Callithrix jacchus: one gene and its partners. The protein of the gene in region 1 interacts with the protein of each later gene in a biochemical or structural test. Links are inferred from orthologs where the notes say so. Each region holds a gene or a part of one and is shown on either strand. Other genes may lie near its edges. The genes, in order: NCK1, SOS1, ERBB3, LCP2 and FASLG.

What was found.
Region 2: the proteins of NCK1 (region 1) and SOS1 form a complex in vitro, tested with the Homo sapiens proteins (2 studies listed by BioGRID). The link is inferred for Callithrix jacchus from reciprocal best matches to the Homo sapiens genes NCK1 and SOS1.
Region 3: the proteins of NCK1 (region 1) and ERBB3 form a complex in vitro, tested with the Homo sapiens proteins (2 studies listed by BioGRID and IntAct, with this or other methods). The link is inferred for Callithrix jacchus from reciprocal best matches to the Homo sapiens genes NCK1 and ERBB3.
Region 4: the proteins of NCK1 (region 1) and LCP2 form a complex in vitro, tested with the Homo sapiens proteins (2 studies listed by BioGRID and IntAct, with this or other methods). The link is inferred for Callithrix jacchus from reciprocal best matches to the Homo sapiens genes NCK1 and LCP2.
Region 5: the proteins of NCK1 (region 1) and FASLG form a complex in vitro, tested with the Homo sapiens proteins (2 studies listed by BioGRID and IntAct, with this or other methods). The link is inferred for Callithrix jacchus from reciprocal best matches to the Homo sapiens genes NCK1 and FASLG.

What each region holds. Positions count from the first base shown.
Region 1 is NC_133518.1:47,381,655-47,387,973, forward strand, and holds the start of NCK1 (SH2/SH3 adapter protein NCK1), read right to left. Parts: upstream 3,998-6,319; 5' UTR 3,914-3,997; exon of another isoform or gene 3,479-3,913; intron 3,171-3,478; exon of another isoform or gene 3,066-3,170; intron 1,692-3,065; exon of another isoform or gene 1,524-1,691; intron 287-1,523; exon of another isoform or gene 195-286; intron 152-194; 5' UTR 58-151; intron 1-57. UniProt on the Homo sapiens protein: Adapter protein which associates with tyrosine-phosphorylated growth factor receptors, such as KDR and PDGFRB, or their cellular substrates. Maintains low levels of EIF2S1 phosphorylation by promoting its dephosphorylation by PP1.
Region 2 is NC_133515.1:76,023,519-76,029,068, reverse strand, and holds part of SOS1 (son of sevenless homolog 1), read right to left. Parts: intron 4,944-5,550; coding exon 4,899-4,943; intron 3,219-4,898; coding exon 3,100-3,218; intron 1,949-3,099; coding exon 1,457-1,948; 3' UTR 1-1,456.
Region 3 is NC_133510.1:63,573,316-63,578,865, forward strand, and holds part of ERBB3 (receptor tyrosine-protein kinase erbB-3), read right to left. Parts: intron 5,482-5,550; coding exon 5,276-5,481; intron 5,064-5,275; coding exon 4,931-5,063; intron 4,731-4,930; coding exon 4,640-4,730; intron 4,429-4,639; coding exon 4,274-4,428; intron 3,579-4,273; coding exon 3,525-3,578; intron 3,187-3,524; coding exon 3,045-3,186; intron 2,349-3,044; coding exon 2,229-2,348; intron 2,106-2,228; coding exon 2,007-2,105; intron 1,801-2,006; coding exon 1,615-1,800; intron 1,059-1,614; coding exon 903-1,058; intron 1-902. UniProt on the Homo sapiens protein: Tyrosine-protein kinase that plays an essential role as cell surface receptor for neuregulins.
Region 4 is NC_133503.1:62,495,045-62,501,301, reverse strand, and holds the end of LCP2 (lymphocyte cytosolic protein 2), read left to right. Parts: intron 1-436; coding exon 437-514; intron 515-2,046; coding exon 2,047-2,202; intron 2,203-4,049; coding exon 4,050-4,172; 3' UTR 4,173-4,788; downstream 4,789-6,257. UniProt on the Homo sapiens protein: Adapter protein primarily involved in signaling pathways within T-cells, as well as other immune cells such as platelets, mast cells, and natural killer (NK) cells.
Region 5 is NC_133519.1:30,107,589-30,113,728, forward strand, and holds the start of FASLG (tumor necrosis factor ligand superfamily member 6), read right to left. Parts: upstream 3,892-6,140; 5' UTR 3,791-3,891; coding exon 3,446-3,790; intron 2,896-3,445; coding exon 2,850-2,895; intron 1-2,849. UniProt on the Homo sapiens protein: Cytokine that binds to TNFRSF6/FAS, a receptor that transduces the apoptotic signal into cells. Involved in cytotoxic T-cell-mediated apoptosis, natural killer cell-mediated apoptosis and in T-cell development.

The DNA of each region.
Region 1 (6,319 bases):
AAAACCACAAGGGGTATGGGTTTAAAGGAAAGCAACAGGCCAGGTACAGTGGCTTACCCCTATAATCCCAGCACGTTGGGAGACCAAGATGGGAGGATCACTTGAGGCCAGGAATTCAAAACCAGCCTGACAACAAAGTCAGACCCTATCTCTAAAAAAATAAAAATAAAAATTAGCCAGGCATTGATACATACCTGTATTCCTGGCCCTTGGGAGGTTCAGGTTACAATGAGGAGCTATGATCAGGCCAATGTACTCCAGCTGGGACAACAAAGCAAGACTCTGTCTTCAAAAAAAAAAGGAAAAGCAACAACATAGCGAACAGGAAAAACATTTGGAAGGCTGCACCAAAGGACCAAAAGCGAAACTTTCACAACATTTTCCTTGATTTCCTACTTGGCAATTTAAGAGAAAAATATTTGAAAGACTAGGCAACCTGGCCAGATGAAGTGGCTCACGCCTATAATCCCAGCATTTTGGGAGGCTGAGGCCTGTGGATCATCTGAAGTCAGGAGTTCAAGACCAGCCTGGCCAACATGGAGAAACCCCCATCTCTACGAAAAATACAAAATTAGCTGGGCATGGAGGCCCGCACCCGTAATCCCAGCTACTCAGAAGGCTGACACAGGAGAATCACTTGAACCCAAGAGGCAGAGGTTGTAGTAAGCCATGATGGTGCCACTGCATTCCAGCCTGGGCAACAGAGTGAGACTCCACACAAAAAGAAAAAGAACTTAATATGAAGGTAGAAAAATACAAAGGGTAAATAAGAACTACAGATTGGTTTGGTTAGAGTGGATAGTTCCTAAAAAGAAATAGTGCTGGCACCGATTAAAGAAAAAAAAGAAAGTGCTGGCACCAGAATAATAGGTTTGAGCAGACTGTTAGAAGGCATGAATTCTGAACTATACTCTGAAGATAACTGGGAGCTATCACTGATTTCTGAAAAATGAAGGATGTGTTTGAAGCATTATTCTAAGATTTAGGCAGGACACACTAAGTAGAGAGAAAAGCCAAGCAGAAAACCCAATTAAAGGCTAGTGAGTAGTTCAAAGATAAAAATGGCTGGCAAAAATCGTCCAATATTGTTAACAAGCTAGGAGATAAAACCAAAGTTTGTATCTGGGTAATTGAAAACGTGGTAATGTCAACAAAACCAAGTCAGCATCAGTTTTGAAGGGAAGACTAGTTCTCTTTGTTACAGTTTCAGGTGAGGATCAGCCAGACATAACTGTTGTCTTAATCTTTAAATGTCATATTTAGCCCTGTGGTCTTCTTAACATCAAGGTATTTACAGAGAATTTGTTAAATGCTCAGTGATTTCAAGAGTTCCCTTCAATTTTACTTATCAATGAAATAATCATTTAATTTTCCAGTACAGATAAAGAATGTATGGTATTTTTCCATATTATAAAGGTAAATTCTAAAAATTATTAAACCATAATTTTAAAAATGAACTGCACCTGTATTCATTACGTCAATTCTTCCTGACAAGTGATTTGTAATAATCACATCAAACATACCTTCAGCTTTGAAAGGAAAGTCCTCAGAGATCCAAAAGAAAAAGAAACTCAGCCAGGCACGGTGGCTCACGCCTGTAATCCCAGCACTTTGGGAGGCCCAGGTGGGCGGACCATTTGAGGTCAAAAGTTCAAGATCAGCCTGGCCAACATAGTGAAACCCCGTCTCTACTAAAAATACAAAAAAAAAATTAGCTGGGTGTGGTGGCACACACCTGTAGTCCCAGCTACTGGGGAGGCTGAGCATAGGAATCGCTTGAATCCAGGAGGCAGAGGTTGCAATGAGCCAAGATCATGCCACTGCACTCCAGCCTGGGCAACAGAGCAAGTCTTTATGTTTCTCCATCTCAAAGAAACCAAGAAACACAAAGCATCACTTAATATCACTTTTCTTTTTATTTTCCTTTTTAAATTTTTTTTTTAATTTTCTAATTTAAAGACAGAGTCTCACTATATCGCCCAGGCTGATCTCAAACTCCTGGACTCCAGCTATCCTCCCGCCTTGGTCTCCCAAAGTGCTGGGATTACAGGCTTGAACTACCTCGCCTGGTCTCATTCAGTAACTAACAAAACATTACAGGTAGGTTTCAAGTTTTATTTACATGGACCTGAAAGCACTACAGAAACCTGGACAAAAGATAATGCCTAGAAAAATAAGTACACATTTAAAAATTTAATACATGAACCAACAGCTAGTAGATCTGAACACTCTGCAATCTATCTTTATGGATATTAGAGCCAATTCCCACAGACCATAATTTTCCCAAAGAAGAAAGCCTCAGAGCTTGTGGTCAAGATGAAAAGAAAGTACCATTTATTAACCAGTGCATATTACTATCAAGTTGTGAATGGAATGCCTATTTAAGAACATCACTGACTCCATCCCCACAAGAAAATAAAGTGTTTTAAAAAAAGAAAAGAACAAACGTTGACAATTACCAAACAAACAAAACTTTCTTATTGGGTTATTTCCCCATTTACTGTGTGACCTCGCTGAAGGCTGAGAGTTTAGACATAGCGCTTTCCAGGTGCTGAAGAAATCATTATTGTTGGTTTGCCGTAAGTCTATCCAAGAAAGATTTTTAAAATGAGTACTTTGGCTGGGCACGGTGGCTCACACCTGTAATCCCAGCATTTTGGGAGGCCGAGCCAGGCGGATCACGAGGTCAGAAGATGGAAATCATCTGGCCAACACGGTGAAACCCCGTCTCTATTAAAAATACAAAAATTAGCTGGGGGTGGTAATGGCCCGCGACGGTAGCACGGCTACTCGGGAGGCTGAGGCAGGAGAATCGCTTGAATTCGGGAGGCGGAGGTTGCAAGTGAGCCGAGATCGCGCTACTGCACCCCAGCCTGGCGACAGAGCAAGACTCTGTCTCAAAAAAAAAAAAAAAAAAAAAAAAAATCAGCAACAACCAAAAAAAAATGAGGACCTCTTGGCAACACTTACCCGTTTTGGGGCATTGAGCTGCTTTGCTCCCCTCCCAAAAAGGAGTTGGAAATTCTTCTTAACCTCATTCTTTCACAATTCCTAAGGCTTCTTACCTAATATAACGTGTAGAATTATTTTCAGTTGACTCCAGATCCATCGATTTGACACCGAGAGCCTTCCTACCGTTACGTCCTCAGCCCTGAACAAATCCAGCTTCCTGAGCTTCTAACGGCAAATTTAACTTATACGTTAACATACAAGAAATGTTACAAAACTATCGAGATAATTTTTTTACCAAACATATTACAACTCAAGTCAAAAGTTTACACCCCCAGCAACTCGCGTACGAATGTGAAGCAGGTCCAGACGTTTAAAGTCAAAGCCCCGGACCAGAAAACCGCCGGCGGGTAGGGGGAGGGGCGAGGGCGCGTCCCGAATATGTCCACCCTCAGCACCGCGCAGGCTGCCGCCCCCTCCTCCTCTCGGGCTGGAGGTGAGAGCGCCCTCCCTTCTACCACGTCCCTACCTTCCCGGTCTTGGATTACGCCACAGCTGGCAACAGGACTTTTTCAGTAGAAAATAGACAAGCCGGCGAGCGAGCCGCACACTCGACCTCCCAGCCTCGCAGGGGCGGTCGCCCGGGCTCTAACCCCGACGCAGCGCTCCAGGGGCTGACAAGGAGGCCACGGGTTCGCGCTCCCTGGGGCAGAGCCCCAAGGGTCTCGCGGAATCCCAGTGCAGACGTCCGGGCCCCGCCGAGCAGCCTCCGCATCCCCTCCGGCTCAGCTCCGAGCCTGCAGACGGCGCCCCCGGGGCTAACTCAGCGGGGGAAGAGGAAGCGACGCAGCGAGTAACAGGCTGTGAGGACGGACAGCCGACTGAAGGAGGGGGTGTGTGTGTGTCGGCCTCCCAGCAAGGCCATCTCACCCTCCGTCTTCCGTGCCGGCTAGCTCCAGCTCACCTGAGGAAGGCACCGGGACGCCGCCGCGGTCGCCGTGATGACCGTAACGGCACGAGGCCTGCGCTCTACCGCCGCGTAGCTCTCGGGAGAGGGGCGGGGCACGCGCGGTGGGCAGGCGGATCCGCGCGGGCAGGAAACCCACTCCCGACCCAATCTGATAGGTTCAGTCGCCCCCTTTCCCGGTCCTTGACGCGACAGTGGTCTGTGCCGCACTGGGATTGGGCGGGCCCACTTGTCAATCAAGCGCCGTTCGTACTGTGGAAAGAGCTGAGGCTGCGCGGCGGAAAGAAGACAGCGAGAGGGTGAGAAGCGGTAGGCCAGACCACGACTGTCTTCGGTTTTCCCTCTGCGGTTGCTCTGGGTGGTTACTTTGAGCCTTCCGCCCCAGCGCTGCAGGAGAGACTCTACAGCAAAAATGACAGCGTCCTGAGCTAACCCCCACTGTTCAGGGAGCCTCCCCCTGGTTTCTGCACCTGAAGAATGTCTTCCCAGCCGAAGGTGCTTAGGAGCAGGGAGGGACAAAGAAAAACAAATAAAAAGACCTGAAAATTGGGACCTGGGAGAAATGTAAGACATGTGGCTTTTTTTTTTTTTTTTTTTTTGAAACAGAGTCTTGCTCTGTCGCCCAGACTGGAGTGCAGTGGCGTGATCTCGGCTCACTGCAACCTCCGTCTCCCGGGTTCAAGCGATTCCCCGCCTCAGCCTCCTGAGTAGCTGGGACTACAGGCGCGCGCCTCCACCACGCCCGGCTAATTTTTTGTGTTTTAGCAGAGACGGGATTTCACCATGGCTGAGATGCTCTTGATCGCCTGACCTCGTGATCCGCCTGCCTCGTCTTCCCAAAGTGCTGGGATTACAGGCGTGAGCCACGGCGCCAGGCCGACTTGTGTTTAATTTGAGGCACAGACCAAAATAAACTGAGTCTGAGGTCCCTCTAAAAGGACCCTCGTGCTTGGGCAGCTTCCAGTCTTGGCGACAGTAGTGTTATGAAGAGGATCTTCGGAGCTAGGTCTGCCTGTTATAAGGTTTCCAGCCACTGGCTGAAGCATCAGTAAGTGTGCTGCAAACCGTAGTAACCTTTTTTTTTTTTAGACGGGGTCTCGCTCTGTCGCCAGGTTGGAGAGCAGTGGCGCGATCTCGACTCACTGCAACCTCCGCTTTCTGGTTTCAAGCGATTCTCTCCCTCAGCCTCCCTAGTAGCTGGGTCTACAGGCACGCGTCACCACGCCCGGCTAATTTTTGTATTTTTATTAGAGACGGGGTTTCACCATGTTGGTCAGAATGATTTCCATCTCTTGACCTTCTCATCCGCCTGTCTCGGCCTCCCAGAGTACTGAGATTACAGGCATGAGCCACCACACCCTGCTGCCTCATTTCTTCTTAACCATCTTTGTGGTTCAGTTTAGGGTCGCTCCTCAGGGAAGCTTGCCGAGTTAGGTATCCTTGAGCACAGGTATTTTCTCCATCCGAGCTATTGAAATGGTTTGTCTGTATCCCTACGTGGATTGTAAACTCCATTGAATCAGGAACCGTGTCTGTTCAGTTTCTCCCTAGGGCCTTGCACATGGTAGATGGTCAGTAAATTTTGTTTAAGGCATTAATACTTTTTACTTTAATCCTGGCCCTAGCTATCAGCCTCAAAAGTTTGCAGTTTTCTGCATTTAACTTCAAAATTATTTGCTTAAGTAGTAATGCATGCATGTGGTTGGCCTGTGCTATAATTTAGATGTTTGTCCCCCTAAATTTCCTGTTGAAATTTGATCCCCCGTGTTGGAGGTAGGGCCTAATGGGAAGTGTTGGGTCATAGAGGTGGTTCTTTCATGAATAAATTAATGTCCTCCCTGGGGAGGGGGTAAGTGCGTTATCTTTATTTCTGCCAGAGCTGGTTAAAAAGAACCTGGTACTTCCTTTCTTCTCGTGTTTCCTCTCTGGCCATGTAATCTCTGTATAGACCAGCTCTCCTTTGCCTTCTGCCATGAGTGGAAGCAGTCTCAGGTCCCCATTAGATGCAGATGCTCAGTCTTGAACTTTTCCAGACAGAACCATAAGCCAAATAAATCTTTTTTATAAATTATCCAGCTTTGGGTCTTCCATTCTAGCAACACTAAAGGGACTAAGACAGTCTGCCATATGTAGGATCGCAAGTCAGGCACAGATTTACCTGTTTATGCTCAGGTTGGCTGGGACAAGTAGACCGTGAAACTGGGCAACAGCTACTTTTTGTCTATATTCTATTATTTGCATCCAAAGTGAATAATGGAGGTGAATTTTGAGTTTATTCTAAGGGTTTAAATAACTGCATATTTTATCATTACTGGTATGGGTTAAATTGCATCCCCCCCCTAAAATTCATATACTGAAGCCCTCACTCCTAATGTGACTATACAGATGTTCCTCAACTTACAA
Region 2 (5,550 bases), on another chromosome or scaffold:
TATGAATAATCATATTATGATAGTAATGATGCAGGTAGATGTTCTATTATGAATAGATTTGATAAAGCAGAAAACCTCAAGCAAGGTAGAATGTTCCACATAAACCTTAACTGTATACATGTTGCTTAGGAACTTACAACTTACAAAGTTCTGCTTAAAAGATACCCATCCTATTCTAACCAAATATCTTTCTATATGCCAAACTGTGACTTTAGATCATTCTTTAGGATTAAGACATATATCCAGAACTAGAAACCAAGGCGTACCACAATACGTGCTTTTATGTTTAGTGTTTTTGTGTGTTTTTCAACTAAAAGAAAAAAGAATCAACCATTTTCTTCATATAATAATTTAATATATGCCAGCCAAACAAAGTATTTGTATCTTTATTCAATTAAATTAAAACAGACCTGCCAGGTATATTATATAACATTCACTATATACATATGATTTAGGTAATGCAAGATAATTCTAGATATGCTGATTACTCAACTATTAGTAAAACATGAACAGTGTCAGTGATGCCCAGCAAGTGCTCCTTTTCACATTGGGTGCCTGCATTTCCATGGTATGGTTAGAGGGATAGATATGAGCCATGACATCGATTACCAGTAAACTTTTGTGGGAGAAGGAGGGAAAATGACAATCTAGCATAGATTAACAGTCTTCTAAATGCAAATAGAATACTTGATGGTTTTGTTTTTTAAAGTTCTTCTGTCATGTTAATGACACAAAACTTCTCTTTTTTGAAGGCAACACCACCACATTTTGTTTGGGTGTGTGGGGACAGGTGAGGGGGAATGCTCTTAAAATTGATATAATTATTCCTAAAACAACAACAACAACAACAAAAAAAGTACCTCTTTGGTGAAGCCTCGGTACCCATTCAGTTCACTGTAATAATCTGTAAACAGGACTGTAGTACAGTGCTGGGCCTTGATTTCAACAAGGTCAGGTACCACAGCCTTTCCTCACAGTCCTTTGAGTGATTTTTAAGAAAATATTCTAAAGTAGAAGAGTAAAGCAAAGGAAAACAAAGGAAGATATTAAGATCCCTGTTTAAGTTTTTTTTAAAAGTGCATAATTTGAATTACAAAAACGGTCATCAGGTGGGCCTGCTGGACACCAGACTATGTTTTCCATCCCTTATGATAAAGATCATTTCACAAAAAGGGGACTCCAGCCTATTGGCCAGAAAAAGTCCCTTTACTTGATTTTCAGGTGCAATCAGTTGTCCAATTCCTCTAGGTCAGTCGTTCCATATTCTAAACTGGAATACCATTTTCACTTTATAATTACATCTAGGTTAAAATTCATTGTCTTATACTGCATCTTGAAGAAAAGTCGTTAGTGTTTGGAGTTCTCATTTTAACTCCTCAGTGCTGGCACATTCAGTGCATCCATTGCCAGCAATGGATTTGGGGCTAGGAAAATATACATCCCAGTACAGAGGAACTCAGGAAGAATGGGCATTCTCCAACAGTGGTGGTCCATCTCTGTGCATGGATGGGTGTGTGTGCTCCCTTTTGTAAGTTTTTGGAGGGAGTTTAGGGATGTGTTGAGAAGTGCTTTGTCGTGGAGGAACAGGCGGCCCAGCAATGGAATGAAGGTCCACTTCTTGTGTCAATGGTGGTGATGGCAGATGCCTTCTTGTGCCGTGAGGAGAAGGTGTTTGAGGAGGAGGTGGTGTAAAGGGGGAGGGGCTATTTGGGAAGAAGGCATTGCCATGATCACTTTTTTTGCCCAAAGGGGGAGGTTGGAGATGTAGTGGTGAGCTTGAGAAAACATCAGGTGTCCTCACAGGTTCTCGTGGTGGTAATAAGGGAGGGCTTTCAGGAGGATCTGATATAGAAGTCCGGTCTGATATTGAATACCGTGGTGAATAGGCTTTTGATGTGGGTTGCCTAGGAGGAATGGCTGGGGGGCTGTCCAAATGCTTAGACATAATCTAACAAATGAAAAAAAGAATAAAATACACATTTATTAATAAATTTATGAAGTATCATGACTATATTAAGAATTAAGTTGTGGTTTTCAAACATGCTATTGGAAGGATGCTAAATGTGGAACAGGTAATTTTGCCGTATGTTTTCTTTTTAATTAAAAAATTTTTTTGAGGGGGCAACAGGGCCTTGCTCTGTTGCCCAAACTGGAGTGCAGTGGTGTAATCATGGCTCACTGTAGGCTTGACCTCCTGGGCTCAGGTGATCCCCCCACCTCAGCATCCCAAGAAGCAAGAACCACTGGCATGCACCACCATGCCTGGCATTTTTTGTAGGGTCACGGTCTTGCTATGCTGCCAAGGCTGGCATATGTTTCATATGGGAGGTTCTGCCAATTCATAGAAAAAATTTTTTTTGCCGAACTTTTTACTTTAATGTTTTTCCTTCCTCACAATTTTTTTGGTTTGCTACTGCTTGCTTAGCTTTTCACTCAATCTAAGAGCGTTTCTAATTTAGCATAAATTACCTATTTTATAATTTTAACTATATGAACATTCACGAAGTTCTACAAAGAATATCTTGACTTATCCTGGTGCTCTGTTCTCTGGACAGCTTAAGAACTAATTAAGTTGACAGCTGGCCAAAAAAGAAAAAAATTTAAATAAGTAGAAATAATAGCTATTTTGAGCCTTTACAGTATCTTCCAAACCCAGAATGTTCATGAAAACTCCATTTAAAAGTATGTCAGATTTACTATTAAGGGCTCAGATAAATAACTTTTAGCATATGCCAAGATACAGTTTGACTTATAATGTGCCTTCATACAAAGCTTCAGGATTTTCTTTCTGTATGTTTTAAAGAACTGCTTGAAACCAAACTCTTCTTACTTTATAGACTAAAGCTTTTGTTTTTTTTCCCGAAAATAACCATAGCCTTAGGTTTACAAAGGTTTTGAAAGCATGCCAAAAAACTACTTTCAGAAGAAAAGAAATAAACATTACTGCATGCTAAATCCATATGTAATCCTTGTTTAAATGATTAAGCCCATATACTTTGAAATGTTAACTTATCCCAGTGAGAACTAAACTAGACATAAGCAGTTTATAATGTAACTGTAATGATTCCAATTTCTACATAAGAAGGTTTCCCAGTTTACCTTAGATGGTGAAGATTCTGCTGGGGCAGATTCTGGTCGTCTTCGTGGAGGAACAGGAGGAGGGACAGGCATTTCATCCGTGCCTTTGGTTAAACTTATAGATGATACAGAAGCAGATCCTGTAGGATGTTAAATTTTTAAGAAAAAGTTCACAGGAATTTTATTTATTTATCTTGAAAAGGCTTAGCTGGAATCTGCTTATAATTAAAAGTAATGTATAGAAGTACCAAAAGCAGTTCAATAAACCAATACCCAATAGTATTTTATTTATTAAAGCAAACTGCCATAAAAGCATGCAGACATTTTTTAGCAGAATATTTAGAGAAAAGCTGCCTAAGATATTGTTATTTTGCCTGAACGAAGTAACATTCCCGCTGTTAATCTGTTATTGGAATTTTTAATTGTATCTGATTCTCAGATGTCTAGGAGACAGTGAGCTACTGAAAATATTTGGAATGGTAATTTTTAAGACTCTACAATGCGTTCACTTTTTTCTTTGACTTAATTAGATTTTATAGAACTTCCCCACCTTACTGGATAGTCCCTGGGAGTAGAGATCCTGCTCTTAACCACTCTCTCTAACGTCTCTCCCTAGCATTTCTCTCAAAGGATGCAAGGGAAAGAATCATAGTGTCTAGGTGAGGGGGCTCTCCTCATTTTGTTTAGTTATAGGCTCTCCTTTGCCTGTAAGCAAAAAGAGGCTCATTATACTTTAAATCTAAACATTTTACCGATGATGGGCACAATTCAAGACAACTGAGGCAGCCCTGACAATGAAAACAGAAATTACACTAAAATCTAGTGAACCTAAGTTGGTGAACTGGCACAAAAAAGGTAAGTAAAGCTACTAATCGGAACCTGTCTTACAGACATTTATGATAACAAGAATGTAAGGTAGGCATATAAATAATTACACTTTGGAGAACAACACGGTTGTTAGTTTATACACACTATAAAAAAAGACATGAAAAAAATACTTAAACCATCATTCAAAATTATACTTGGCAGTTTTTTTCCCTTTAAGCATTAAGCTTTTTGTCAATTATATGTTATAACAATATAGATCTTAAAAAGAGTACTTTGTGTACTGATATTATTAAAATGATCAACATTTTGATCACCTACCTTTTCCCTTGAGAATATACAGTTAATTCAGCTTGTAACTAGTATTTTCCACTGTACACATTTTAAAATTACTTGTATGAAAGGACAGTAAAAAATATTAATTAGCTTAAAATAATTAATATAATGAAATTTAGTGAATTGTTAGTTTACCTTAAAATTAAAATGGAGCTTTATTTTGTTTATCAGTGTTTAGGCTATACTTTGAATAATTACAATTATAAGAAAGTTATTCTAAAGTTAAAAGCAGTTGTCTATAATCTATCCTACTATCAGGCTAAGTATATTTTGTGATTTAGAAACTGCATGTAGCTGCCAGCATTCCCATACGCGCATGCATGCTCTTGCTTTTTTTTTTTTTTTTCCCAAAGTTGAGCATTAAAATATATTTAGAACTCTACAGTTGTAAAAAAGAAATGGTTAAATGTGGAAGCCACTTATTTAATATGTTCTTTTAAGACAGAAACGAGGTTTTGTAAAAAGCATGAAAAATACATAAATTTAAGCAAATCATTTATGATCAAAAGATAGCACAAGTGAAGGCCTCACTTCTAGGACGTTGCAAGCAAGGTACCAATGCTGCCAGACCCAAGAAGAGTTTTAGCAGGACAGGTTATACTTGGTTTGATTTTTAAAGCCAAAGCAAGATTTATGAGTCTTAAGCCAAATATACTAACTTGGGCCATAGGGCAGTGTGACTTGGATAAAGACGGTATCATTGCCTGTGAAAGGAAACAAGAAAAAATAGATTTTCTTCTTTCATTGATATATTCAACTTATCTGCAAAAATTTGTATTTATGATGAAAATGTTATTGTCATTCTAGTTTTAAAGAATGCTGTAATCGTTTATAGTAAAATCTCATTATTACTTTTGAGAAGAAAAAACTGGTATCATATTGGGAATTTAAAAGGTTCCTTTTAGATTTACTTGATCTCATAATAATTAAATGAAAAACATTCATGAAAACACTAAAATATCCTATATTACTGAAATACTTTTTAAAATGTAGAAACCCAATTCAAGCAAAAAGTTCAGCTGGATGTATATAAATCTGCTATTTACTAAATATTATTTTGAAAATTCAAACTTTTAAAACAAGTAAATTTATTGTATATAAAAAGAAAAATAAAAGAGTTACTAATTATATGTCTTTCAAAAATGTTCTTGGGGTGTATATTCTCATCACAAAATAACTAGCACTCTGGATATTTAAACAAGCTCAAAAGTGATATAGGGTTTTTCCTTTTATAGTCATCATAAACTTTTTTTTTTTAAAGTCAATAAACATTTGGTGCTAGGACTCATTTTACATAGGAAACTGATAAAT
Region 3 (5,550 bases), on another chromosome or scaffold:
AGTTGAGATAACTCACTACCTTCGGACTAGCCTTTATTTTTATTTTTTTATTTTTATTTTTGAGATGGAGTTTCGCTGTTGTTACCCAGACTGGAGTGCAATGGCACGATCTCGGCTCACGGCAACCTCCGCCTTCTGGGTTCAAGCAATTCTCCTGTCTCAGCCTCCCAAGTAGCTGGGACTACAGGTGCGCACCACCATGCCCAGCTAATTTTTGTATTTTTAGTAGAGACGGGGTTTCACCTTGTTGACCAGATGGTCTCGATCTCTTGACCTCGTGATCCACCCGCCTCGGCCTCCCAAAGTGCTGGGATTATAGGCATGAGCCACCGCGCCCGGCCTATTTTTTATTTTTTTGAGATGGAGTCTTGCTCTGTCACCCAAGCTGGAGTGCAGTGGCAGTAGTGTGATCTCAGCTCATTGCCACTTCCACCTCCTGGGTTCAAGAGATTTTCCTGCCTCAGCCTCTGGAGTAGCTGGGCACTCCACCATGCCCAGGCACATGCCACCATGCCCAACTAATTTTTGTATTTTTAGTAGAGACAGAGTTTCACCATGTTCATCAGGCTGGTCTCGAACTCCTGACCTCGTAATCCACCCACCTCAGCCTCCCAAAGTGCTGGGATTATAGGTGTGAGCCACCGTTCCCGGCTAAGTCCCAAGTTCTTTTTTTTTTCCTGCTAGGCATCTTTCATGTTACCATGTTGGTTTTTTCCAACCAAATTCTTGATCATTCTTTTCTTTGTTGCTCTCTGAACTAAGATATCTGGCCATCTGCAGCCTCCTCTCTTTGAACTTACCATGAAGCATCTGCTTGCCTCTGGAAGAGACCACTGACTGCTCTCTATCCCCATGCTTCACTCCACCCCCACCACCTTACCCAGCCCTTTGTGTCACCTCACCTTGGCCTCACTGTATAGTAGCTGCTTATCATCAGGAGGCAGCAGGTCAGCCACACCAAAATCTGCCACCTGAACCTGACTGGGTGACTTGAGTAGCACATTTCGGGCAGCGAGGTTTCTATGCACCATACCATGTTCCTCAAGGTAGTACATACCCTGTAGATACAGGGGAAGAAAATATTCTTAAAGTTGGGGGAATCAGTCACTGAGATCTGGAATTCCCCCAAATCTTCCAGGTACCTCTCAGCAGTAGTCCCCAACCTTTTTGGCACCAGGGACCAGTATTGTGGAAGACAGTTTTCCTGGTAGAAGGGGAGGGTTGGTTTTGGGATGAAACTGTTCCATCTCGGATTATCAGGCATGAGTTAGATTCTCATAAGGAGTGCACAACCTAGCTCCTTCACATGCACAGTTCGCAATAGAGGTCACTCACGCTCCTATGAGAATCTAATCCTGCCGCTGATCTGACAGGAGGTAGAGCTCAGGCGGTAATACAAGTGAGGGGGACTGGCTGTAAATACAGATGAAGTTTCACTCACTCGCCTACCGCTCATCTGCTATGTGGCCCAGTTCTTAACAGGCCATGGACCAGTACCAGCCTGTAGCCGGGGGTTGGGGACCCTGCCTCTCAGAACTTCAACCTTCCCACTTTTTCCTGGCCTGCCCCCAGCTGAGCAGTTCTTATCATAGAACTCCTCCAGGCTCCTTTCACCTTGGCAATTTGTACTCCCCAGTTGAGCAGCAGCTGTGGCCCCAGTGCTTCCCGGTGTTGTCTCACATGATCCAATAGAGAACCCAGAGGCAAGTATTGAGTGACAAGCTGCAGAGATGACCCTGGGCATAGTCCTAGCAGCCGTACGATGTGGGCATGGTCCAGGCTGCCAATGGCCAGCATATGCTAAGAGACACAAAAGGTGTTATCCAGGAAACCAGCAGGTTCACATACACTCAGCATGTGCACAGCCAGCCCAGGGGACCCCCAACATTCAAGTGCATCAACGTGGCTAACACAGTAGCTGCTGAGAAGCACAGGACCATGCTTCTACATAATTATATCTAATATTATCCTCTCTCCTAGCGACATGAAGAATACCCTTCACTTACATCTGTCACAGCTTGAAAACTCTGCCGTCCACTCTTGTCCTCAATTACTTTAATGCAGACTGGAATCTTGATTGACTCACCCTCAGGGATCCACACTCCCTGGGAAGTTTGGGATAGGAGTCAGCATAGGGTCATTCTCCCTTGGTCAGTCCTTTGGAAAAATCTTTCACCCCTTTGCCCTAGATGCTTTCCCCACCTCACCAGAATTCCTATAGGACTCACTTTGTGCACAGTTCCAAAGACACCCGAGCCAAGCACTTTAAGCTTCCTCAGCTCTGTCTCTTTGAAGATTCTGGCCAAGACTTTGTTAGCCTTCTCACTGGGGTCCAGAGGCTCTATGCTCTAAGGAGCAAATGGAAAGGAGGTACTCAGGAAAGACCATTCCCATGTCCCACTCCAACCCGCTCTCCAGAGGTCAATGCCAAAAGTAGCGAGCCAAAAGGGCAGGAAGAGAAATCATCGTTAGTCCTGGAAAACATTATAAGCATATTGAGGAATAACAGACCTTGAAGATTGAGGAATTTATTTGTGCTCATGAGATCGGGAATCAAAGGGGTTGGGTTTTCCCTTTGACGGGGGACCAAGAAGTGGGGTAAAGGGACAGCTAGGGAGAGCTGGTAATACTATTACCACCTTGACTACCTTTTATACAGTGCTCTGTGTTTTCCAAAGCACTTTTACATCATCTCTCTTTACGCTTACAGCCTTCCTGGAAGGATGAATGTTATTTCCTCCTTATAGATGCATAAACTAAGGCACAGAGAAGAGAAGTAACTTCTTCAAAGTCATGTGGCAAATTAATGGCAAAATCGGGACTAGAATGCATGCCTCCCACTTCTCTGACCAGTGTTTTTTCTAGGGGATCACACTACCTCCTTGAAGAAAGGGATCAAATCCCTGAGGAAAGATGAGGGGAGTGACATTGATCCCATCACTGACCACTGGGTACACAAGGTACCACTAAAAATTAAGCTATAAAGAGATTTCAAGGGCATGCAAAAAAAGAAAAGAAAAAACAAAAGTAAACTAAGTACTCACCTCACCCCGTTCCAAGTATCGCCTCATAGCCCTTTTATTCTGAATCCGGCGCCCACGCCAGTAGAGAAAAGTGCCACCCAGGAACATGAAAATCATTACCAATCCTGCTATCACTGTCAGAGCCATTGTCAGGTGGGTTTTGCTATGGGATATATAGAAACCCAACATTATTCTGGGTTTTCATCTTCCTTACAAATGTCAACTATACTTGCGCTGAAGGTATCTGGCAGATCTGGGGCAAGAAATTAGCATTCACATATATATCCTTAAGCACTGAAGGGACCAACCTAAATCAGGACCACTCTTTGACTACTGCAGTTAACTTTAGGAAGGGAAGTCCAGAAGCCTGCATTCCAGTGATAGTGGACCGCGTACATTCAAGGCCAGAATGAAGACACCCTCGCTCTTCTCTCCAGGTAACCACCTCTCTCCCAACTTCCCAAATATCCCCAGTTTCCAGAATCTCCAAACCCATCCTACCCGATCAGCACCAGTGTTTGTCCTCGACAGTCTTGAAGCTCTGGTCCTTTACACCTAGGGAAGGAAGTCACCACCTTAAATGAGAGCTTGGACAACAGAGGCTCAATTTCAACAGCCTCGGCCGGGCACAATGGCTGAAGCCTGTAATCCCAGCACTTTGGGAGGCCGAGGCGGGTGGATCACGAGGTCAAGAGATGGAGACCATCCTGGTCAACATGGTGAAACCCCGACTCTACTAAAAATACAAAAAATTAGCTGGGCATGGTGGCACATGCCTGTAATCCCAGCTACTCAGGATGCTGAGACAGGAGAATTGCCTGAACCCAGGAGGCAGAGGTTGCAGTGAGCCGAGATCGCGCCATTGCACTCCAGCCTGGGTAACAAGAGGGAAACTCCATCTCAAAAAAAAAAAAATTTCAACAGCCTCAACATACAAAACTTACTTCAGAACTTATCATGGCATCCCATCCTAGAGTCCAAAGCTGATCCCAAGACATGGCCTCTACCTCCAGCTCACTAGCTCTCCCCAAGCCCCTCTTGAGTAAAACTCCCTTGAATTGTGGTTATTCCAGGTTCCCAAAACTGTGGTGCAATTTTGTGCTGTTACTGATTTTCCCTTTCTTCAGTCCTTCAGTACACAGCTGGGAGTGATTCTTAAATCACAGCGTCTCTCTTCTTTCTGCTTCCCTCACCCTATTTCTGTGCTCCTACCCTTCCACCTGACCCCTTCTTATCATCCCATCACTGACCCCTGGGTGCAGTTCTCATGGCAAGGCCGACATTCATTCTGAACATCTGGGTACTTGTAGATGGGGCCTTTGGCACCTAGGACTCCATGGGGGCAGCTACTCACACAGTGGGGCCCATCTCGAAAATGGGCACATTGAACACAAGTATCAGAGCCCTGAGTGGAAGAGAGAAGGTCAGGATGAATCAGATCCAAGGTCAATTCCATACCTCCCAGCAAAGACCAGCCCAGACATTCCGAATCTTCTATCTGCAGACCCTAGCATTATCTGTTCTCTCTGTGCTCTCCTTAGTCATATCATTCCCCACATGCTCCAAGTATTGCCCCTTCTCTGTCTCCCTTGGAGATCCTGGTGCTGCTACTATACCGAGCCATTGCATGTGGCAGTTCCCTCCATGGGCTGGCATTCCGGGTGGCAAGAGAAGCATTCGGACTCATGGGCAAACTCTCGGGGCTCCCTGCATCGGGGAATAAAGGGAGGGGGGTCACTTCCAAGTCCTGACCTTCATGCCCTGATACCACAACCACAGGTCTCCTCTCTCACTCCCACCAAGGCATATGCAGAAAGCTTTCTAAAGGCTTTTATTATATGCTACCTGAATAGTTCCATTGCAGGGTCTCACCCCCACCCATCTTTGACTGGCTCCCATCACTGTACCCATTCAGAAAGTTGCAGTGGGTTACACAGACACCTCCTCGGCTGTAGTTTCGACAGGACAAGCACTGACCAGGGCCCGGGCCCCAGCATCCCCCAGAGGAGCACTGTGGGTCACACACTTTGCCCTCTGCCACTGGAAAAGAAAGGATAGATTAGGAGAGAAGTCTGAGGACTCCCAGCCGGCCCTCTCCTCATTACTCTTTCTTGTTACTGCTTCCATCTTAACATCCCCCTTCTCCTTGATTCCATCCCTCAACCCTACTCCCACGTGTGGGCAGATGAATCCTTCCAGCCCTCTCCTCCCTGACTCCCTGTTCTCACCACCCAGCAGACCCTTTCCCTCACCGCATTCTCTGCGGGGCCGATTATGCTTGATGTCTAGTCGCTCTTCTGAAGGCCCCCGAAGCAGTTTGGTCCAGTTCAAAGAGTGGTGGTAACAGAGCTGCCGATTGGCACTTATATAGATACGCCCAGCACTGATTTCCTTCAGGGATCGGAAGCCCAGAGATGTGACATTCAAGTTCTTCATGATCAACAATGAGAAGCCCCGGCTGAGAATAAGGAGATAGGATGAGAGGAGACTACTAAGGGAACATCAACTATGCAGTGGATTCATGTTA
Region 4 (6,257 bases), on another chromosome or scaffold:
AGACTCTTTCAATGACAAACGTGTGTTTTGCATAAACAGAGAGAAAAATAATCCTGTTTTTTATGTTTCCTAGTTTATGACCTTGATTAGTCACTTAACTGCTCGTTAACCCAGTTCTTTTTTTTAATCAAGCAGGTTATTATGCTAAACTGAAGAAATTACTGTATCTGTATCTTTTCTGATTAGAGGTTCCATACTGTAAGGAACACTTATTCACAGGTATTTTGTAACCAGTGTCATGATGAAAAGCAGTTCACACAAAACATCTTCTATTTAGCCCCAACTAAATGACTCTCTATGCAAATTAAGAAAACAAATGTTTCAAACTCCTGGAATGGAGGTGGTGATTTATGGAAATGATTACCCAGAGGCTTTTCTTTTCACTTACATATGTAACTGTAAAATTTATTCCGTTTCTAAAAATTTACGTTTTCAGAATTCATTAAATGAAGAGTGGTACGTTTCTTATATTACCCGACCAGAGGCAGAAGCTGCTCTTAGAAAGATAAACCAGGTATTGTGCTATAGTTTATTTTAACATAGTTATACATATTCATGGCAGAAGAAGGGAACTGACTTGTCCTGAGTAACAGTTACGGGCTGGGAATTCTTCTAGGTGCTTTGCTGACTGTAATACCTAGGAGACCCATTACTGCCAGCTTCACAACTACAGCAACCATAGCAGGAATTCCTGGGCTCAGGAACCATTCAGCTGGCAGAAGAATCTAAGTTAAGGCAGTCATTTGGTTGGCAGAATCTTAGGAGATTTTATTAACAAAAGCGTCTGTCTTGTCATGGGACTTAAATGGTGTCAGAAGGAGACTCTCTTTCCCCCAAAGCTTCAACATTATACCAGCTCTAGCTTCCTCCTAACACAGATGTGCCATCCACATTGATGTGACAGGACCGATATTAAAGAAACAGCAACAACTTTTTGCTCTTTGTCTTAGACATTTCTAGGTAGCCTTTTAATAGCATAAGGTGTTAAGCATATTTCTCCTAGCCAGTCCCGAAACTTTACCTTAAATTTATTGATCAGAAATGGGAAAGCAAAGATCCTTCATCTTTCACATTTAAACTCTACAGCAGTTCTCAGTAGTAGTTGCACATTTAAATCACCTGGAGCGCTCTTGAAAAATCCTGATTCCTGGGTCTCACCTGGAGATTCTAATGATTCTGGAGTTCTGTGTCAGCTCTGGGAGTCTTCAAAACTTCCCAGGTCATTCTGATTTGAAGACAAGACTGAATCACTGGTCCAGAAGTGTTTGTTTAGCAGAAATGTTCTGACAGGCTCAATTAACTTGGAATAAAAGGAACAGAGGAAAGCCGTTATTGCCAACTCGTGGCTATTTAAAGCTATTCTGATTTGGTATGAGAAGGGAGTAGTTTAAAGGAGTCCTTACTAATTAATTTTATTTTAATATTAGATTTTTATAGTATTAATATTATGTAGTAATAATTTATTGAATGGAAATTTAAAGTACAGAACAGTCAAAACAGTAGTTTAGCAAATATCAGAAAAAAGAAAAGAGGAACATTTGCATTCAATTTTGGTCAAGGGTCTGTTGAAGCAAAGACTACCTAGAGACCACAAGATTGTAAAAACGGTGAATTTCATGGCATTTGGGTGTTTTCTGACTTTGGATGTGGAAAAGAAAGGTTAGGAATAGTAGGAAAATATATCTTGAGTTACCCAATAAAGTTTGTTATTTCTCCTGGCCTTTTATTCACTCAAGCACCCATTATTTATTATTGAACAAAAGATTCCTTTTTTTATCAAGAGACTTTAACGAGATTGACTTGGAAATTTCTCTGCTACAATCTCTGTTGCCTTTCTTGATAACAAAAAAAAAAAACTCGTGACACATGGAATCTGTAGCTGTTTGGAGAACCGAATGTTCGTTGAATGACAGGTTTTGCAGTCAAGAAGCTGCAAACTGCAACTGACAGGTTTGTCAGATCCCTAGAGGCTTGTCTACTACTCTTAGAAGCAACAAAAATATTGACTTTCACTGCTCCCATAATAACAGGAATTTATCCTTTCAGGATGGCACTTTTCTGGTTAGAGACAGCTCTAAAAAAACAATAACCAATCCATATGTCCTCATGGTGTTGTACAAAGATAAAGTTTACAACATCCAGATCCGTTATCAACAGGAAAGTCAAGTTTACTTGTTGGGAACTGGACTCCGAGGGAAAGAGGTAAGGATTTCAAATTTCAACATTTCTGCTAAATCTTCATTTATGCCTCTCTGCATCTTTTCATGGAGCAATCTTTGGGATTCCAGGCTGTATGGCGAATTTAGAGTTAAATAACATTAGTGAAGTCCTTCATTTATTGGAAGAGAAATAAACCAAAATGTTTACAATAGTTACTTCTGCCATAGGATTCCTTCCTGTATGTCTTTTATTCCAAATAATCACATGTATAACTTTTAAAATCAGGAAAACGTATATTAACTTTAAAAAATCTATTTAGAGATGTCAAAGACAATTTCCTGCTATTATTCACCTCTGTGACATAATTTTAATGTAGGCTGCATTTTAAGTTGACACCACTTGAAAAGGAGAAAAATCAGAATACTTGCTGTGGTGATTAATTTGGCTCATTTCTTAACAAAATGGAGGGTTAGCCCCATGAAGATGACCAGGTTGCCAAAGAAATTCTTCTCAGGCTGAGGTTTAGATTCTCATGCTAATCACTTTTTGAGTGGTAATCAGAACTGGTAGAAAGAAACCCTCGGGGCTAGTTTTTTGCAACTGAAGGTAATGCCCCAAAGAAACTCCAAGTTCAAAGTTCCAAGAGGAGGACCAACTGAATGAAACATGTCCAGAATGAGAAACAGCTTACCCATAACTTCTGATTCACATACTTTTGTTATGATAGTGTTAATGACTAGAAAATAATGCATGCTTATGGTCAAGTGTTTGAATCACTGGTTGGCAGTGGATAGAGCTGCACAGACCCTGTAGAAGCAGAGGTATTTGCCTTCAAGCTTTATCTTGGTCCAGTGTGGAAGCACACAGGTGTGCAGAGGACTCATTGCAGCTGTCATGGAGGGAGGCACCTAGCAGATTAGTCTTAAAGGAAGTGCATTATCCCATTAGGGTTCCTATGTGAGTTGTGACCCATATCCAGAAAGTTGAATTAGGCTTTTCCCTGTCTGGCAATCAAGGCTGGGGTGATACAGGCTATAGATGCAAAGACTTGGCTGCTGAGCCCTTATGAGTGTGGAGGTGGCAGTGAGGACACAACAGAGAATTCACAAAGGAACTCCTGTGCTATGCTGCAGATCCTACCTCTGGACACCGTGTACTGTGTCTGACCTCCTGAGTCCTTATACCTCTTAACAATATTAATGACTGGGGGTGAAATAGAGATACGGAAACCGAAACCAAAACCAAGACCAAAAACAGAGCAACCCTGCGGCAAGGATACTGTAATCATGACTATTTAAATGACCCCTCCATATAAAGTTAAAAATATATGCATTTCAAATTACGTAACACACACACACACACATATACATTTGATCTTTTTTTTCAAGATGGAGTTTCCCTCTTCTCGCCCAGACTGGAGTACAATGGTGCCATCTTGGCTTACAGCAACCTCCACCTCCTGGGTTCAAGCAATTCTCCTGCCTCAGCCTCCCAAGCAGCTGGGATTACAGGTGCATGCCACCACACTCAGCTGATTTTTTTTTATTTTTTAGTAGAGACAGGGTTTTACCGTGTTGGTCAGTCTAGTCTCAAACTCCTGACCTCAGGTGATCCATCCACCTTGGCCTACCAAAGTGCTGGTATTACAGGCATGAGTCACCATGCCCAGCCCTTATTTTATCTTTTATCCATGGTTTGTTGGATGTTTTGAGGAATTTTTTTGAAAGCTCTATAGCAGAAATCATTGAACTACTTGCCACATTTTACATATTTTTCCCACAATCCTCATAACTTGAAGAGGCAGGATATATTATGCAGATGAAAAAACAGGGTGAAGTTCATGCTTTTCATTCCAATGCTGACTCATCTCCCTATCTTGACTCTTTCAGGACTTTCTGTCTGTGTCAGATATTATTGACTACTTCAGGAAAATGCCACTTCTGCTCATTGATGGGAAAAACCGAGGTTCCAGATACCAGTGCACATTAACTCATGCTGCAGGATACCCATAGCAAGTTATAGTTGAGCAAATGAACCGTCCTCCTGCCTCTGTTGCCAACATGAGATCAATCAGCTTTGGTCAACTGATAAACACTTAGGACTGAGTTTAACCCTTCCCCATGAACACAGGGGTATTATCCTTTCCTTTAAAAACAGTGTTTGAAATGAAGACTGTCAAATTCCCATAATTTATTTATTCTTCTTCAATGTTTGTAAAGTGCATGAGTCATGTTCACACTTCATGTCTAGTAATGCACTGTAATAATTCACTTTTTAAAAGTTGTTAATTTTTTTAATATCCATTTCAAAATACAGTAGTTTACACAGCTACAGAAACAATTTGGGGCAAGTTTTAAAACACTGAAACAGTAATAGTTATTGGCATCACATAAAACTGATTTGTTGCCAAACCTCTGTCAGTCAGAGGCATTCATTAGTTCTATACATGTAATTTGAAAATGACTAAACCTCATTTTCTCAGCAGCAATAATTTAAGAGCCTTCAAAAATACAATTTTATTCTTCCTTATTTGGTATTTTTTCCTGGGGGAATTTTTATGTAATTTTTTATGAAAAGATAAATGCACGTTGAGATAACTTCTGAGATTAAAATAGTCTTTTGCTTTAACTTTTTGGTTTCCTAAAACAACTTTATTGACTTTTAGTCCATACTGTTATATTTTTGTCTTAAAAAATGTAAACTACAAATAGCAAAAGAAAACATTTTTAATTTAGGGATGAGACTTTGGTGGATTGTGGTTCTAGGTTTAATTAACACATCTGGGGTTAAGTTGGCATTTCTTCACATCCCCACACCCACACCAACATCACACACACCCCCACCTTCTCCCAACCCCAAAAACATTGTCCAGGGATATAGATTTTACCAAAGACTTCCTGGGAAGACAAGGGAGCAACTTTAAATTTGTTCAGACTTTCCTATTCGGTATGGCTGTTCAATCTCTTATCATCCCCCTGACAGCTCTGCCATAAAGCCCTTTCTCCTCATCCTTTCCAAACAGGCTGTATAAGTGCTTTGAAGTAATTCAGCTCTTTCCTTTAGTTTACAAATCTCACTTAACAAAACGTATAGGCATTCAGCCAGATTAAAAACTAGTATTCAGCCAAACAGTGACAATCAGTTTTTTCAAATTTTTCCCTTTGGGACCTTGGTTATTATTGAACAACTTTTATTAGCAACAATTTTTGGCATTTCTGCTTAATCTACAAGTTTTCAGAATGGAAAAGAATATCTTGCATCTTCATCTTCATGAACCAATAAAAAGAATATTAGAAGGAATCTAAGAAGTCACCAGTTTAAAACTGATGATAGGCTAAGATAAGGAGTATATGGAATGTAGAGACTTTTAAGTAATAATAAAAATTGTGTTTCCCAAAATCTCATCCTTAACCAGAAGTTCTCAGTTTAGGTCCAAAACTTGGGAGTTCTAAGGTTGAAAACCCTGCATTCACTTACATGTCTATAGAACAGGCTATTCAGCAAGTATTTACTTAGTGGCTTTTCTGTGTTAAACAAGTGAGCTAGGTGCAAGGTAGTCAGGATAGCATACACCATAGGTTCTAGCATGGAGTAAGCTCACTTATCTTGCTTCACTGTATTCTATTCTTAGGGTTCAAAAATATGTAAAATGAAGGACCTGATAGATTTCAAAGCAACTATTTGGTAGTGAATCATGTTTATAAAGCAAACACTCGTTTTAAGTCTCCTGGTGGAAAGGGCAATTAGGATTAAGATGTTCTATTCCACGGCTATGACTGAAGTCCACGTTGGGAAGCTGATGTTTTCATGACTAGCATTCTCTTTCAAGCACTGGCAACTCCTTTTGGCTGGGCCTTGCCTCTTTTCTTGTAAGTGACCCCAGATATATCAATGGGAGTTGCTCAGAACACCGCTTAGTGATAAATATCTTACTAAAGCTGGGTCAGTCAGAGTCACTCTCTGGAATGTTACACATGAAGCCTGAGACAAGATCTTTTATCTGGGGTCCCCAAAAGGCAATGCTATACACCTGGATCTGTCTGCTGCCCTGCAACTACTCCCATTTACCAATTAACTGTTAAGAACCAGTCTGCTAT
Region 5 (6,140 bases), on another chromosome or scaffold:
AGAGAACATTGCCTGAACAATCATGACCTCTGTAGTCACCCAAGCCACCCCACCACAAAGGCGGTGTTAGTGAACAGGAAAGGCAAAACTGAGTTTCCTCTGCATTCCTACACCACAAACCATCTGAGCAACTAATCTGGCATTCAGCCATGCACCGGCAGGAAATGGAAGAGAGAACCACATGTCTTTATATCCCTCACAGAGCCTAGTACAATGTTATTCTCATAGAAGACGCTCACTAAGAATAGCTGCTATACAAATACTGGAATAAATAAACTGCAGATATATCCTAGACACTGGTGATGAGTGCTTCCTGCCCCAGGTTTTTTGCACGTGCCATTCCCAGCACTGAAATGCTCTCTCCCAGCCCCACCACACTCCACAGTACATGCACACAGCCCTTCACTCTGCGGCTTCTGACCTCCACGGGTGTCAGCATAAACAACACCTCCTTAGAGAGGGTTCTCCAGGCCATTCCATCTTAGGTTGCACTGAGTAACTTTGAAATTGCATGGTCTTTTTGCTTGCTTTTTTTTAGCTTCTTCACCATGCTAAAAGCTCCATAAGGACAGGCCCCCTGGGCTCACTCACCCTCAGTCAGCATCCAGCACCCAACATCTAGCCTCACAGATGTGAATGAATAAGATATTTAATTAGTTAACGGAAAAAAAATGGAAAATATAAAAAGGAGGCAATTAAAGAGTGTAAATAATCTATAATAGTATCTCTCAGAGAAAATCACTGTGAGTACATCAGTATAGAAAACTTTCTAGTTCCTTTCTAAGAATATAAATATGTGCATACATGCTTACATAGTCAGTATGAAACTAAACATACTCTTTTGTAACTTGTCTTTTTATCTAACAATAGAGTGTACAATCTCCAAGGCATTAAACGTCCTTCTGATATGTTTTTAGTTGCTGCTTATTAAGCACTTGTCTGAATACATCATAATGTATATGACTAACCTAGTATGAGGCATTCAAGTTTCTTCTGAATTGTTTATTATAAATAGGCTCATAAGGAAGTAATGAATATCCTTATATGTAAATCTTCAGGCACAGGCACATCTCTGATTATTTTCTTAAGATAAATTCTTAGCTATGGGATTACAACGTAAACTATTAGTTCCAAGCTTTTGATTGTATATCCAAAGTGCTCTTCAGAGAAAGCTATAGCAATTTACATGTACACTGGCTGAAACAAATGTTTGAACAGGCTCTTTTCTCTCAAATCTTTGTCAATTTGTGCTTTTTTTTAATTTTTACCAATTTGATGAAAACTTGATATTTCCTATTTTTAATTTGCATTATATTAATTTGAATCTCTTTTCTTATTAGCCATGTGATAATTTACCAATTTCTGGTCCATCTAGAGAAGATAATTGCTTACCAGGCAGATAGACCTGACTCATCTGATCATTTGACTTTTAATCACTAAACTGACTCAAGAGTGGGTGAAATATGAATAATTAGGTACCTATCAGACCAGGCACATTCCACAGATTTTCAAAATGATCTTATTTAAGACATCCTCCAGAGGCTTTATTTTTTTAACAAATATTTCCACTCTGCTTGTGTACATGTGGAAGTTCTAACATATAAGGATTAGGACACAGACACAGGAGCCAGAGCATCCAACAGTGGCTCCTACAAGAACCTAACAATCTGGGATAGCAGACAGGCGACTGGGTTGCCTGCAGTAGCCACATCCAGAGAAATGGGAACTTGCTCCACTTCTTGGCCAGTGCTGCCTTCTGCTTGCTTCTGAGTTTCTAAGGATGAGATTTACCTATTCTCTTTGCAGAGGTATTCTGCTTTTCATCTATTTCTCATTCCATGGTCACTACAGTCAGGAGTTTCCCTACTTGATGAGGCACCAGTCCATGTGCTGGAAAGCCCTGTAGGTGACAAGGCATCAAGAGCCCGTGTTCCTTCCAGCCCCAGTTCCAGACCAGTGTTCTTGGGCGTGTTCACCTAATCTGTCTGGTATTTTGTTTCTCTTCCAAAAGACAGAATGACTGGACTAGATATATTCTAAGCTTCCTTCCAACTCTAAAAATTCAATGAATCGCATTGTAAATCTAAATCTGAAATTTCAGTGAACCTTAGACTAGTGAAGTGTGCCGTAAAATCTATCTGTACAGAGCTTGCAAAACTATGCCCTGACATTTCATGAGATCAGTGTTCAACATGTCATCTTCTTGTCCTAGCTCCCATACAAAGGGTTTTCCTTTGTGATCAAGGGTACCTCATGACCGTCTCTGTGGGTGAAGCTGAATGTCCTTTGAATGATGGCTGAAGTCTTCCCCTAAGCTACTCAGTGACTTCAAGAAAAACCATCCTATTGTGGGCAATTGATTATCCTCATTAAAAGCATACATCCTATAAAATAGTTTATAAATTAAGCTTCACTGTAATCTCTTTAGAGAGTTTAAAAGAGGAGAGGACGTTTCTGAGAAACATCTATCTCTGCCTTCACCTCGCCTTCTCTTCCCAGGAGTCAAAGCCACTGGCATGTGTGCCACAACCAAGATGCCTGTGGAATGCGACAGACCTTCCTCAGGGGGCAAAGGTCCAAGTTGTGTATGTGTGTCTCCAAAGTCAAGTGAAAGTGATTTTGAATTGTGTGCTGTGCTCAGCTATACTGATTGTGAGCAATTCAATTGACTTCACATTTTTAAAGCAGCTCGAGGAATCATATTGACCAGAAATTCAGAATCAGCCAGAACTCCTCTCATAGCATACATAAGCCAAAGTGTAGGACAGAATATAAGGCATTCCATTAACATAGTTCAGTGCTGAGGATCATCTTTGGGAACTCATTGTACCCACAAAAAAAGGACTCACCTATTTGCTTCTCCACAGACGATACTGCATGCCTCTGGCTGGCAGACTAGTAAAAGAGAAAGAGAAAAGATGTATAAAAAAAATAAAACTCTTTAAGCAAAAGAGGCAGAATTGTCAAATAAACCAAGCCCTGGAAAAAGAATCCAAATACCTCAGAACTTTTGTTAACTCAGGCTTTGTCCAAGCAATTTTGCCTCACTGTCCCCCAGTTTTGTGATTTGGAATCATATCAATATTTTAAGTACTTTCAAGATTCAGTTTGGTCATCTGAACAAATTTACTTCCAAGCAAAACTTAAAAGTTTGGTTTGTTTGTTACTCCTTGAATCACTAGGTATGAGGCAGGAAGTGGTTCAACAGACTGAGTTGACACATGAGGAAAAGAAAACTGTTGGGCTCTGATGCTTTACGAAACAAAAAATATTCCCCTCACTCATGTGAACCTCCATTTCTCTGCCTATAGAATAGAATAACTAGAACAACCCATTTCTAAGGAAAAAAAAAAGAACTGAAAAGCACTTGGCAAGCCAGGCAGTGGGCCCTGCACCCCCTTATGCCAGGTGCCTCCAGGGCACGGCAGTCCACCAGCAGGCTTACCTCTCGGAGTTCTGCCAGCTCCTTCTGAAGGTGGAAGAGCTGAAACATCCCCAGTCCCAATCCTACCAAGGCAACCAGAACCATGAAAAACATCACAAGGAGACACAGGCCTGTGCTGTGGGTCCCTCCCTTCTTCAGGGGTGGCAGTGGTAATGGAGGCAATGGTGGCGGTGGTGGAGGTGGTAGTGGCGGCGGTGGTGGCGGCGGCGGTGGTCTCCTTTGGCCAGGCCTTCTGGGCACAGAGGTTGGACAGGGAAGCACTGTGCCTGGAGGGGCCCAGGGAGAGCTGGCACTGCTGTCCACCCAGTAGATCTGGGGATATGGGTAATTGAAGGGCTGCTGCATGGCAGCCGGTGACTCCAGCCAGCCCCAGCAAATGGTCTTATTTCTTCCTAATCCTGTAGAGGCTGAGGCGTCAAGGACAGGACTCCTGTTGCTGACTGCTCAAGAGAAAGGAAGCTAGATCTCTCTTATAGAGTTTCCATAGCTAAGGGAAACACCTCTCTCTCATTCTGCTTCTCAGAGAAACGCCCACTCACTTTGCATCTGAAACTGAGAAGTCTCAAGAAGCTCAGAGCAAACCCCTTGGAAGTTTCCGCCCACAATTTTCTTATGAAGGCCTTTGAAGCCCTAGGTGCTGTCGCTGGGCTACCCAAAAAGGCTGGTAGGCTGTGCTCCCCTTCCTTGGGTCCTGCAGAGCAGGTCAGCACTGGGATGTAGCCCTGTTGGTGTCAACTTCTCCCAGCTACAGGAGAATGGCCAGTGGAGATATAATTTTATGAATTATAATCGTATGCATTTTTATAAATTATCATTATATAATTTTAAGAATTCTACAATACATACAACCAAAAAACTATTTTAAAATCCCAAAATAACTCTAACAAAAATTGTTCAGAATCATATTTTTAAATCCATAAATTTTACTGCAAATGGCTCTGAGGTGAAAGACCATGAAGTCATGGCCAAAGAAGTCACTCCCACATTTTACTTTTTGCAAAAGGAAAACATCTGTTGCCATCATCCCTTCCCCACACACAAGTATCATCTACCCTGACCAGCAAATCACCATAATTTACAGAGTAAAAACCTGCTACACCCACTTTAGAAATTAGCTCAGAGGCTGCAAACCAGTGGAACCCACAGAGCTGCTTTGTATTTCACATGTTTTTCTTTTCATTGGTTGCCCACTTTATTTATTTATTTATTTAAAGAGAGACAGAGTCTCACTCTGCCACCCAGCCTGGAGTGCAGTGGTGCTACCATAGTTCACTGCAGCCTCAAAATCCTGGGCTCAAGCAGTCCTCTTGCCTCGACTCCCAAGTATCTGGGATTATAGGCATAGGTCACTACACCTGACTAATTTATTCTATTTTTTTGTAGAGATGGGGACTTGCTATGGTGCCCAGGCTGGTCTCAGCCTCCTGACTTCTAGAGATCCTCCCGCTTCAGTCTCCCAAAGTGCTGGGATTACAGACATGAGCAACTGCACTCAGCCAGCCCAACTGACCACTTTAAATATTGATACTAAAAATATTATATATTTTTAAATACACATTAAAAAAATATTTCTATTCTCTTTTGAAACATCAGAATGTCGGACACCCTCAAGGCCATGGGTAGCAGCTACCCCTGAGAATGAAGGACAGGTGTTCTGGGTCACCCAGCCTCCACCACGCCCCTGTGTCTTACACATCACCTCACCATCTGAAAGGCCTGCCTGGTCTCTGCTGACATTTCTTGTGCAGCCACTGTTATGGTTGCCAGATTAAACACATGGTGACCAATTAAATTTGAATTTCAGATAAATAATACATAATTTTTAGGGCAAGTATGTCTTAAACGTGTCCACACATGGAATATACTAAACAATTATTTATTGTATAATCTGACATTCAAATTTAACTCTGTGCCCTATTTCTTTGTTTTGTTTCATTTAAAGCAGGCCTCTCTCCTTGGACTCACCTCACCCTTTCTCCTCTGGCCTCAAATACCATTTATATGCCAATAACTTCCAAGTAGTTAGCTTCAGTCCTAATTATTCTCCAATATAAGCCATACAAATGCCCTGTAAATCCCACTTTGTCATTTTCTTTTTCAGGTTTATTACTTTTCAAATTTCATTAGTTTTTATATCATGCTTTGGGATTTCTGTGGCTATCATTCAGGCCCACTCACCTGTACCAAACCAATACCAAAGGTACTATTTCCCCGATGGATTCTGCCCACGCCAGCCCAACCCCATCCCCCCACAACCTGTTTCTCCTGAGGCCACTCTTTCTGGAGACAACTTCATCTCCTCTCTTTTCCTCTCCCCCAACATTTAACTGGTCACCCAGGATTGTTGCTTTTACCTGAGACCTGTTCCTTACCCTCCCCTCAATATAAGGTTCCCCCTGCCCCACCCTTGCCATTCCCATTTTTCTTACTGCTATTGCCCAGGGTCAGATTTTTATTATCTCTCACCTGAAATACTGCAGTGATGCCCTAACAGGTGACCTGCCACCAATTTTTCCCAAGCCCGAATCACCCAGTAAAATGCTACGAGAAAGACGTTTTAAAAAGCAAACCTAACGATCTCACTTCCCTGCCTTGTGTTGAAAGGTCTGATACCAGGAGTAGTGCAAGCTCCTTAAGCATTACCCAAGGCTCTTTAGCATCAGCTCCCACTGCCTCCTTGCCAGGCACTCCTGCT